Caenorhabditis elegans: one gene and its partners. The protein of the gene in region 3 purifies or fractionates together with the protein of the main gene of each other region. This does not show direct contact. Each region holds a gene or a part of one and is shown on either strand. Other genes may lie near its edges.

What was found.
Region 1: the proteins of C16C10.4 (region 3) and pnn-1 fractionate together in Caenorhabditis elegans (co-fractionation; one large-scale study listed by BioGRID). This does not show direct contact.
Region 2: the proteins of C16C10.4 (region 3) and rsp-3 fractionate together in Caenorhabditis elegans (co-fractionation; one large-scale study listed by BioGRID). This does not show direct contact.

The regions. Positions count from the first base shown.
Region 1 is NC_003283.11:12,969,413-12,973,880, forward strand, and holds pnn-1 (Pinin/SDK/MemA protein domain-containing protein), read left to right. Parts: upstream 1-1,697; 5' UTR 1,698-1,704; coding exon 1,705-1,802; intron 1,803-1,850; coding exon 1,851-2,003; intron 2,004-2,055; coding exon 2,056-2,419; intron 2,420-2,463; coding exon 2,464-2,695; intron 2,696-3,364; coding exon 3,365-3,597; 3' UTR 3,598-3,868; downstream 3,869-4,468. Other genes in the region: lin-46 (MoeA N-terminal and linker domain-containing protein), read left to right, coding at 28-244, 353-722, 782-1,165; shw-3 (BTB domain-containing protein), read right to left, coding at 4,000-4,107, 4,156-4,260, 4,319-4,435.
Region 2 is NC_003281.10:12,686,201-12,689,591, forward strand, and holds rsp-3 (putative splicing factor, arginine/serine-rich 3), read right to left. Parts: upstream 1,717-3,391; 5' UTR 1,707-1,716; coding exon 1,537-1,706; intron 1,490-1,536; coding exon 1,102-1,489; intron 1,036-1,101; coding exon 817-1,035; 3' UTR 501-816; downstream 1-500. Other genes in the region: spin-4 (Major facilitator superfamily (MFS) profile domain-containing protein), read left to right, coding at 2,127-2,166, 2,222-2,376, 2,429-2,569. UniProt on the Caenorhabditis elegans protein: Plays an essential role in embryogenesis.
Region 3 is NC_003281.10:4,169,758-4,172,850, reverse strand, and holds C16C10.4 (putative histone deacetylase complex subunit SAP18), read right to left. Parts: upstream 1,516-3,093; 5' UTR 1,512-1,515; coding exon 1,330-1,511; intron 1,205-1,329; coding exon 1,024-1,204; intron 924-1,023; coding exon 786-923; 3' UTR 628-785; downstream 1-627. Other genes in the region: Argonaute protein hrde-1, read left to right, coding at 1-82; E3 ubiquitin ligase rnf-121, read left to right, coding at 1,912-1,962, 2,035-2,214, 2,267-2,421, 2,465-2,601, 2,652-2,743, 2,802-2,953. UniProt on the Caenorhabditis elegans protein: Acts in transcription repression. Involved in the tethering of the SIN3 complex to core histone proteins.

The DNA of each region.
Region 1 (4,468 bases), on a different chromosome or scaffold from region 3:
GTATATTTTTTAAATCGAACATTTCAGTCAATCAACTCGGAACAAAGAGAGAGATCGTTGGATTATCCACTGCTGTAACACCATATAACGCAGAGTTAATATCTAACGAATGCGTTAGAATAACCATCGGAGGAGTGGTGCCAGATGGTGCGGATACTGTAGTTCCGATTGAAAATGTAGCTTTATTGAAAGAAGAAAAATGTATCGAAGTTTTGAGAAAACCTAAAGAAGGCGACAATATAAGGCAAGCTGTTCATATATCAAATTCCATATTATAATAGTAACTATAATAAGCTACACACATAGATCGAAATTTCATTAGCCATAAACATTATTTACTGAAATATTTCAGAGAAGTAGGATCAGAAGCTAAAACTGGTGAAATTTTGCTGAAAGATGGTCATCATCTAGATACTATGTCAATTACTCTTCTTCATGCTCTTGGAATTTCTCAAGTTGAAATCTACAAGAAACCACGAGTATGTGTTCTATCAATTGGAAGTGACCTAAACTCGAATAAAATGTACGGAAGCTTCAACCGCTCTCAACTACTAGAACTCTTCCAATCTCAAGGTTTTACGGCAATTGACGCTGGAAGTTCAACTGAGCATATTACTGAAGTTGAGGAAAAAATACGAACGGCTGCAAGTTTTGCCTGTGTGCTTGTGACTGTTGGAGGAGCACAGGTGATACGGGAAGTAGCTAAAACGTTGAAATTCAAAGTGAGATCTATAACGATACTTAAACCTGATAGTAAAACATAAACTGTATTTATTTTCAGTTTGAGATTCAAGATGTAGACTCAACTCCAGGAAACTTCACCGTTTCGACTGGAAAGATTGATGAAACCCCTGTAGTGCTTTCAATTTTTCCAGAATATCATGTTTCATCTTGGATTGGAGCAAATCTGTTTGTTTCACCAATTTTACGTGCAATGGAAGGGCAAAATTCTGAAACAAGCCATAGGTTCAAAGCTGAACTGACACAACCTATATCGAAAACGTCGGAGACAAGATTTTTGCGAGCTCGAAGCGAAGTTTCTAAGGGAAATCTAATTTCAACACCACTAGGCTGTGAAGATATCTTTGGAGCTAATTCGATTTTAGAAGTAAAATCCAACACTTGTTTTTCGGCCGGAGACGTGGTTGATCTACGCTTTGCATGAAAATTCACCAGTATCAATATTTCCTTTTTTTTTGTTTTTACTCGGTGCTTTTATACCTCCATTCTGATATGATCTGTAACATGTTTCACTTTAAAAACATCTAATTTTCAATGATATTTCATAGAATTCAATTGAAATAAATTCAATGTCTACAATTGTCGTGATTTCTGGTTAAAAGGTACTGGTACACCGCAGCGTGTTTGCGTACTTAATTGATTTCCATTTTTTTCACAACGAAAACGCGGCATTTTGAGCAGATGTGTTTGCAAAAAAGAGTTTCTATTCGTTTTTTTTGTTTGAAAGAACAAAATTACCTTTTTTAATTTCAATAAATAGTAGTTATTCTGTACAAAATCTTCCAAAACATGGCGTTTTCTTCGAAAATTCAAATTTATTTAGAAAAATTTAGAAAACTGGAACTGTGACAGTTAAAAATTGTGTTTCTTAATGAACATTTAATTGGCATGATTAATTCGTTTTTGATATATTTGTATTTATTCTATCAATTTTTCTCTCAAAGGATTATTTTCAGACTGAAAATGGATCAAATGTTAGTTGAAGAGCTTGAATCCGATATTACCGCTGCCAGAGACAAACTGAGGAGTATTGATGACAAAGTGACTACTTTGAATGGGAGGTTTGTATTGATTTCTTCTTTTTTTCAATTCAGAACTTGGAATTTCAGACCACCACGTCAGCGCATTTCATACAACGAGGAACCAGAAGAAGCTCCACTGAGAAACGTTGGCCGTGATGCTTTTGGACTGAAAGATGAAGCTAGTGCATGGAATACACGGAAGGAAATCGAAGCTCCTGGTGGGGTCCGTAAGAGGATCAGGTTTGTAAAAATCGGACTTGTAGAAGCGTGATTTAAATTAATATATGTTCAGCGTCGGTGATAGAACAGATCGCAGAACTGGTGGCCGGCAAAGCTTTGACAATCAAAAACGCCAACGCCCAGATTATTTGGAGAACGAGGCGGACGAGGAAGAATATGGAAAACGCCAGAAAAGAACAATCCAGTCGACTGTTGTCATGCCAGCTCTTGATTCAAAAGGAAGAGAAGAAAAAATTGAAAAATTGAAAGAAACTGAGAATAAAGACAGTAAACAGAGAAATCGTCGTCTATTTTCTAATCTGATAATGGGAACTTTGAGTTCTTTCAAAAAGACTGAAAAGAAAACTACTCAGCAAGAAAAGCAAGAAGAAGTTGAGAAAAAGCTTGAAGAAACCAAGAAGAAGGATTTCGAATCGGTAAGGTTAAAAAAATGAAAGTTTAAAAATTTAGTTTTTTTCAGAGAAAAGAAGAGAAACACGATCTCCTCAACAAACGACGCGAGCAGGAGAAGGAACTGAAAAGTCTTCAGCGAAAGAAAGCATTGATCCAGTACGCCGAACACCATGCCAATCAATTAAAGCTTATGAAGGGCTGGATAAAGACTACGACAAGCCCACATATTTTCTGGCAACCGGTCAAGCATACCGTTCGATCGTTGGAGTTGAAGCAAGCCACGGAGAGACAACTCGATGGTTAGTTGAAACTAAATTTTTATTAATGATTTAAATTATATTAAAATTTTATGTTAAAAAATTACAACATCACGAGTCGAATTTCGCATTTCAAAAGCGATGCCCGAAATAACGAAATTTCATAATGACTCGAAGCATTTTCAAAAATCTTGTATGATGGCCAAAATTTCAAAAACAACCAGGTTTTGCTAAAATCTGAAATTTGGGCAACTTGCCCTTGTCACAGAAGCTGAAATTCAGTTAAAACACTTTTGTGGTCTTCCTTTCTGAATTTTGTAGTCGCTTCCTCGTATTTTGGCTCTACATTTTTCAATGAAAACACTGCTCTTTGGAGAATTTAATCGTTTTCTATTCATTTTTCTGTAAAAATTGTTTTAAATCAGTTTTCAGTACAAAACACTTTTCCATTTTATTAACTGATTTAAGCTTTTTTTAACAGAAAAAAATGACACAATTCGCCAAATGTTAATTATTTTTATTGCAAACTGGAAGGAAAATGAACGAGCAATTATGTCGAAAAAGTTGAAAAAAATTTTTTTTGCACTCTGAGACACATCCGAATAAATCCGTGCGCCTTTAATTAGGCATGCCAAGATCTCGTGATATTATTACGATAATAAAAACATTAACTTTTGACTATTTATAAAATATAAATATTCTTTTTTGTAGATCAAATTGCGGATCGCGAAGAACAACTGAAAAAGGATCTCGAAGATCGAGTGAGACAAATATCTGAAGAACGTGGTGATCACAAGCAAGACGAAGACGATGAATACGAGGAAGAAGACGAGAAGAATGAGAACGAGGATATTGTAGTTGTTCTAAAAACTGAGGATGATGTGAAGGCAGAAGATGATGAGGAAAAGGAAGATGATATTGATGTCCATGTGGAGCTTGATTGATTGGTTGTGAGGTTTCAGGTACCGACTGTGCTGTGTGTCAATGCGAAGCTTTCAAATGGTCATCGTATTTTTTATTTTTAATGAAATTCAGGTATCTCCGTGAAAGTGTAAGTTTTTGTAACACCTTAATCTCCTCGTTCTCCAAAATAATTACTCTCTTCTCTTTTCACAAGTTTTAAATTGGTTATTTTTGCTGTTTTGTTCTTTTTTGACCGTTCTTTTGATCTGTCTATTTTGTTCGCGACAGATAAAAAAATAATAAATATTTATTCTAGCAAAGTCTTTGAAAGGAGAAATCTGAGAAAATTGAGATCAATCTAATACTCGTCATTGTCAGGGGTTTGATGAAATGATGATGAATTGGTCACAACTTTTTTGAGGGAAAAAATGGCTATGAAACAACTAGATTAAGGTATGTGGCGGTGTATGGTTGTTGGATACAAGTGGTGTATTTTCCATATTCTTCCGTTGCGTTGGTCCATTGGAATTTCGAACCGGAGCATGTTTTACCTGAAAGTTTGAAATACACGAATGCCTCCCCTAGAATATTTTACTTACATGCTGAGCAACTTGATCCATTGAGAGCACTCCTCGTCTTTTCTTGGGCATCTTTGAACGAGCTTGTGTATGGGAATAGAACATGGCGAAGTTAGAGACGATGACCTTGAAATTAAAATTCAAAACTGGCAACATTAATTTGAATAATAAATGGAAAACATACTGGAACTGGCAAAGCGATTGTCAATACACCAGCGAGAGCACAAATCGAACCAATCAGGCGGCCCAGATATGTATGAGGTGTTATGTCACCATAGCCAATTGTTGTCATTGTGACGATCTGGAAATTGGAATTTTGTTCTGATGTTTCATT
Region 2 (3,391 bases), 8.5 Mb from region 3:
TTTCTGTTTTCAATAATAATTTAAAAAAGTAAAAACACAAGTCAAAAATTCAAAATTTTTATTCGAAATTCCAAGTCGAAACTCACCTGGCTGATTCATTTTTGTGAGCCGGGAAGCGGGTCACCGGCTCACCTGAACATGGCGGATTAGTTTTTTCTCATATTCGAGGGGATTTTCCTAATAGATTTCGGGGTTTTCGAACCCAAAACTGTAAAATTTTTCCTTCTTTTTACTCTCGTCAGGTCAAAATTTAACTAAATTATGTTCCTAACAATACCCAGGGGGCAAATCCAAAACTTTTCCCATAAAATCCTTTTTCCGGGGGTCCTAGTGTGTGTGTGTGTGTGTGTGTGTCGATTCGAAAATCGTGTAAAAACCGATTCGATCCTCGATCGATATGGTGTGTCCCCGCTTTTGATCGTCCAGCGATCCTTTAGTTTCCCTCCTTATAGAGTCCTCCTCCTTTCCTCCAATAGTTTGAATGAAGCGGAGTGGAGGCTGAAACAAAACATTTTATTCGTGGTTCCTCCAACAAAAGAAATTATTGAATAATAATAGGTGGGGCTGATGAATACTTGGATGTGGTTGTTTGAATTAAGGATAGGTGATAAAAAATAGAAGAAATTGTGGATATATATATCCAAAAAGATCGATAAAAAGAAAAAGGTGTGTGTAAACAGGAGAACATGAGGCATGGAATTGTATTAGAAACAGCACAAAAAAAAAGAAATTAGCAAGATATAGTTGTATCAGAACTCTCTGTCAGACGACTCAAATTGCAAAACGATACCGTTTCAAGAATCAGACGCTGTCTCTTTATTGTGGAGATGGTGAGCGAGATGGACTGCGACTGGCCGAGCGAGAACGAGAGCGGGAACGGCTGCGAGAGCGGGAACGAGAACGACGAGGTGAGTACTTTGGCGAAGCACGACGTTCGGCTCTTGGAGAGCGCGAACGGCTACGATCACGGCCACCACCACCGCTTCCGCCTCCAGAAGAGTTGTCCTCACGAACGCGAATGTAGGCAGTTTCACCCTGAAAAAGAAAAATTTAATTCAATTTTTGATTTATTTTATAGTTTCAAAAATAGTAAAAACTCACCTCATGTGATCTGAACTTGGTGTCATCAAGCTTGCGAACAGCGTACTTGACATCCTCGTAACGAGTAAACTCGACGACTCCAGTTCCATCTCGAGCCACATCCGCATAGCAGACGTCTCCAGCATCACGCATATGATCCTTAAGATCCTGCCACGACCCGGTTGGTGGAAGACCTTCAACGATCACTCGGTATCCGGTTCTTCTCTGAGGTCCACCTCCACGACCACCACCACGTCCTCCTCGGAAGTCTCCACCGCGGTGATCACCTCCGTCTTGGAGTGGGCGACCGCCTGGGCCACGTGGTCCGACTCCACGAGTGAACTCGACGCGAATGCGACGGCCATCGAATTCGTAGCCATCGCGAGCACGAACCGCATCCTCGGCATCTCTGGAATAAAATTGATTAATTAAAGTATTTGAAATCAATAAACGAACCTGTGATCTTCGAACTCGACGAAAGCGAACGCCGGTCCACGTCCTGACTTGATATCGACGTACTTGATGCGGCCATACTTGTGGAAAATGTCCTCGACTTCCTTCTCTCGGACGTCTCCTGGCAGGTTGCCAACGTAGACTTTTTGGTCCTCTGAGCCGCCGCGTGGCATGTTTAGTACACTGAAAATGAAGAAATAATTATGATTATTTGCAAAAAATCGGCGACTGAAGATTATTGATAATAAAAAAAATACTGGGCCTAAAATCCTTCAAATTACTGCATTTACTTGACTGAAAAGAAACCCAGAATCGAGTAAAATTTAGAAAAATGAATATTCTCAAGCATTTCTTCGAAAAAATAATAAAAATTGTCTGAAAAAACAAGAAATGAGTGTGCCACGGCCTTCGTTTTCGAAAAAATAACGACCGCGACGCGACCGCAACGCGTCATATGAGCATTCTCCCGCCAAGTTTGAACGAGTTCGGTGGAGCGCGCCTGCGTTATTTTTAGTCACGTATTTTTTTATTTTTTGTGGTTTTCGGTTTTTTATTAGAAAATAAGAAAAAATAATAAATTTCAGAAATTCTAAATGCCAAATGAAATTGAGGAAGGCAGTGGTTTGGACGTTGGTGAGTTTTTAATCGAAAATTTAATTATTTAAATCGAAAAACTTGATTTTTTCAGCCTCCCGACTTGCTGGAAAGAAGAAATGGGTTACTTGTTCCATTCTGCTTCTCGTAAACCTGCTAAACTACATGGATCGATACACAATCGTGGGAGTTATGTCGCGGCTTGCAACATTTTTCGATATCGACGATAAGGGGCAAGGCCTTTTGCAAGTAAAAATTGAATAAAATTGTGGAATATTAATTAAAAACCGAATAATTTCAGACAGTTTTCATTGTGTTCTACATGTTTTTCGCGCCATTATTCGGATATTTGGGTGATCGATACAATCGAAAAATGCTAATGATCACTGGAATTTGCATATGGATTTTAGCAGTCTTTGCATCGTCTTTTTGTGGGGAAGGGGTAAGGGAAAAGGGAAAAAAACGATAATAGAAAGGAAATAATGTTGGAATAAATTACTAAGACAGTCTGAGCCCACTTCCAGTGGTAGATCAAAAGGCGGAGCCAAAAACGCGGGAAAATCGCGGTCTGGAGGTCAATGAGCCCGATGGGAAGGCTCTAGAGGTCAATCCAATAATGGAATAATGACACCGAGAAGAGAGAAGATAAAAAATGACGTTTATAACGCTTTTTTTGGCAATTTTTGCAAAAATCATGCGAAAAATGCTATTTTGTGGCAAATTTTCACTGGAAATACACAAATTCTGAATATTTTGCCGCGAAAATCGAATAAAAAGAGAAAAAAAAGAATATTTTTGTAAAAAAATTCCTATAAAAAGCGGAAAAATTACCAAAATTCTAAGATATTTTTTGGAATATCAAAAAAAAAAGTGCTTCAAAATTTTGAAGAAAAAAAATTTAAATCTGAGTTTTTTGGGGCAATTAATGCATTTTTCACCAAAAAAAGAACACAAATTTGGATTTTTGTGAAAAATATTCTTTAAAAAAGCGGAAAATGTCCAAAATTCTGAGAAAAAACTAAAAAAAAAAAAAAAAATTTTTTTGCAATTTTTTTGAAAAATCCCTCAAGTGAATAATGCGTTTTTTCTCCAAAAAATTGATTTTTGTGAAAAATATTCTTAAAAAAGCGGAAAATGTCCAAAAATCAGAAAAAATGGAGTTTTTTTTTCAATTTTTTTGAAAAATCCAAAAAATACTGATTTCCGGCCATTTAAGATAGGGCTTCCAGGTAGGCGTTGAAACGCCTGCCTGCCTGACCTCAAG
Region 3 (3,093 bases):
AGAACTGGCGGCAGCCATTGTTGATGAGATGTCCGTTGCAATGAACGGAATGACCATTCCGAAGCGAAACTTCTGGGCGTAATCCCGAGATTCTCTCTTTTATTGTCACGTATTCACCCCCTTTACATATTACCAACATTTTTTATCCACTACCCTATACCTACTCTCTATACAAGTACTTAAATTCCCATGCTTTTGTTTTTCTGAACATTCTTTATTACATTTTTCCCCATAATTGTATCGTATTCCCCTTTATGTTTTTATAATTTCAACTAAGAATCCTTTTGTAATTTAATCTAGAGTAGAGTACATTGACACATAGTTTGAATAGTAGATACTCCTGTTTTACCTGCCTTTTTTTCTGTGCGAATTTCCTCCAACTTTCTTATTAGGAGTTTTCGAAGGCGAAAGAAACTTCCAATTAGAACGTTTTTGGAAATTTCGATTTTCAATAATCTTACTTGCTCTACCCCCCGTCCATTATCATTTATTAAGCAATAAATTATTCGAGAAGAAATTTTAGTTTTCGCTGAAAGCAGTTTGATCGCGATCATTTTTCCGATTTTTGCATAATCACAAAACAAAACTTTTTTAAAATTAAATAGCTTGCAATTTTGACCAGTAAATGTGAAAGTAAACTTTGTTGTAAATTGTTAAGTATGTTGAACAATTGTAAAGGAAAACATGATTTACGCAGAATATTACATTGCACGTTATAAAAAAAAGAATCGACACATTAATAAATACAGAAGAGTATCATTGAATTTTAACACACAGTTAGGCGTCTAGCGAATCGGACTACGTTGGCGTTGACGATGATCGAAACGGTCTCCCTGCTCCCGGTTATTGAAACGACGTCCTTGACTTGGCAAGGAAATCGCGACGTCGACGAAATCACCGACTTCGAATTTGCATTGTTGTAGCTGAAAAACAAAGTTCAATCAAAACGAATTTAATATTGGAGATATTATTTCCGAATTCAAATAAAATTCTAATGGTTCCGTGGTGTCAAAAATCACATACAGTTTTGTTGTCATCAATGCCACGCTCTCCATTCGTCGTGTTTCCCACATCGCGTAGAATGTATCTTGGCGAGCCGCGGTCTGCCTGCACAATAGCGAAATCGAATGTGGTGCCCTTTCTTCTAGCGTCCGGATTCACTTCTTTGATTAGACTGGTCAATTCACGCAGAGAACAGTCCATCCTGAAAATAAAAAAAATACTTCAGGTTAACCAAACTTACAAGTTTGAATGTATTATTGAAAATATTAGACAAAAGTTCTATAATTTCGGCCAAATAGTACTAATTTTTCTATTTCTACCGCGTACCAAGTATGCATTTGAAGTTCGCTGGGTGGAACAGATCCTCCATTTCTACTATTGTACTCGCTCATCGGATTATGACGATTATTAGCAACGAAGACGCGAAGAAGCATCGGACATACTTTCTCACGATCTAATGGTTTATCGTGACCAACTGTCACCTGAGACACGAGTTGACCGTTGCTCATTTTTCTGAAAAAAAAAGATAAATTTGCTCTAAAAAGGGATAATATAAAATATATTTGTTTGGTTATACAGAAAAAAGAGAAAAAAGAAGCAAAACGCCAAAATTTGCATTCGAATGTTTGTGGGCGGAGCGTTCTTTGCAACCCTGGCACACAAGATTTGCAGATATGCCGCGCGCAGATGACATTCTCCTATTTTATTTCGATTTTCACCGCAAATCTTTCTCCGACATTTCCTTGTCGCAAAGTTAACCAACTCAACTATTTTTATCAATTATTGAATTTAAAGTGTTTTTTTCGTTCAATTTTTAAAATTGGTCACTTTCCACGCGGGAGTCCGCTTTACCTTCTCGAAAAATCAATAACGTTTTCCAAAATAATTTCTATTTTTTCAGGCCATAGAATGGGCCAACATGGGGCAATTAGGCTGCAGAATGAAGTTCAGGAAGGAATGGTAAGTATTTATTGATTTTAAAATAGTTTAATTAAAAGTAAAATGATTTCTATTATAAATTTTTATTTTCAGCCCCCTCCACACGAGCTAACAGAAGAAGAACAATGGGCAGAGGAGCACCGAAAAATGCACGAAAAGCATAAAGGACACGAAGCGATGCACATGGAAATGATGGTTATTTTCATGATTTCTGTCATCGTTGGACAGATTTTTCTGGTCACCTGGAAGAGGAAGCATTTTAAATCTTATCAGGTATTTAATTTTATTAATTTTAAACATTTATTTAATATTCAAACATTTACAGATGTGTACATTAATAGGAATGCTCACAATTCCAGTTTATGTTTGTTTCAACCGATCCTGGTATCGATTCCTGGCCACGTGGCTTGTTTTCTGCATTTTTTCAGCTTTTATTTGGTTGAAAGCCTCGGCTCAACATATCAGTGGAGGAACACCAAGGTTTTTAAGAATAAAAAAGACGAATTAAACGAAATAATTTAAGATTCGTCTACAAATGGTTTCTATTTTTGCATAAACTGAGTTATGTACTCGGAGTTGTTGGATATTTGATCATGATGGGAGCTTTATTAGGATTTCATGTTTTATTCGGAGTTTCACAGCCAACACTAATGGATGCCGGTGAGAAATTTTGGAAAAATTTTGAAAAAATCTAATTTTCAAGCTTCCAGGCATCCTTTTCATGTTCTATGGTGTGTATTACGGAGTGCTCGGCCGGGATTTTGCTCACATTTGCACGGCGAGAATGGCGTCGAGAATCGGGGTAAAATACATTTTTCACCTGCTGCCGAAAAATAATCAATATAATTCCAATTTTTCAGTATTACACTCCTGAAGGACTTCCTAAAAAGCATCTAGAAGACGGTGTCTGTGCTGTTTGTGGAGGACGTCTTGATGATTCGGAACATGTTCATGATGCAGATGCTGTGGTTACAACGAAAATGGTTGAAGATGAAGATGAAAAATTGTATAAGTGAGTGGAGAAGTTCAGCAGATTTTTGGAATTTTCACTTTTTTTAATTAAAAAAAAGAATTAATAAGTAGTTTTCCAGTTTTCTTCGAGAATCACCAGAAAGCACCAAATTTTTAAAAACTGATATTATGAAGCTTTTG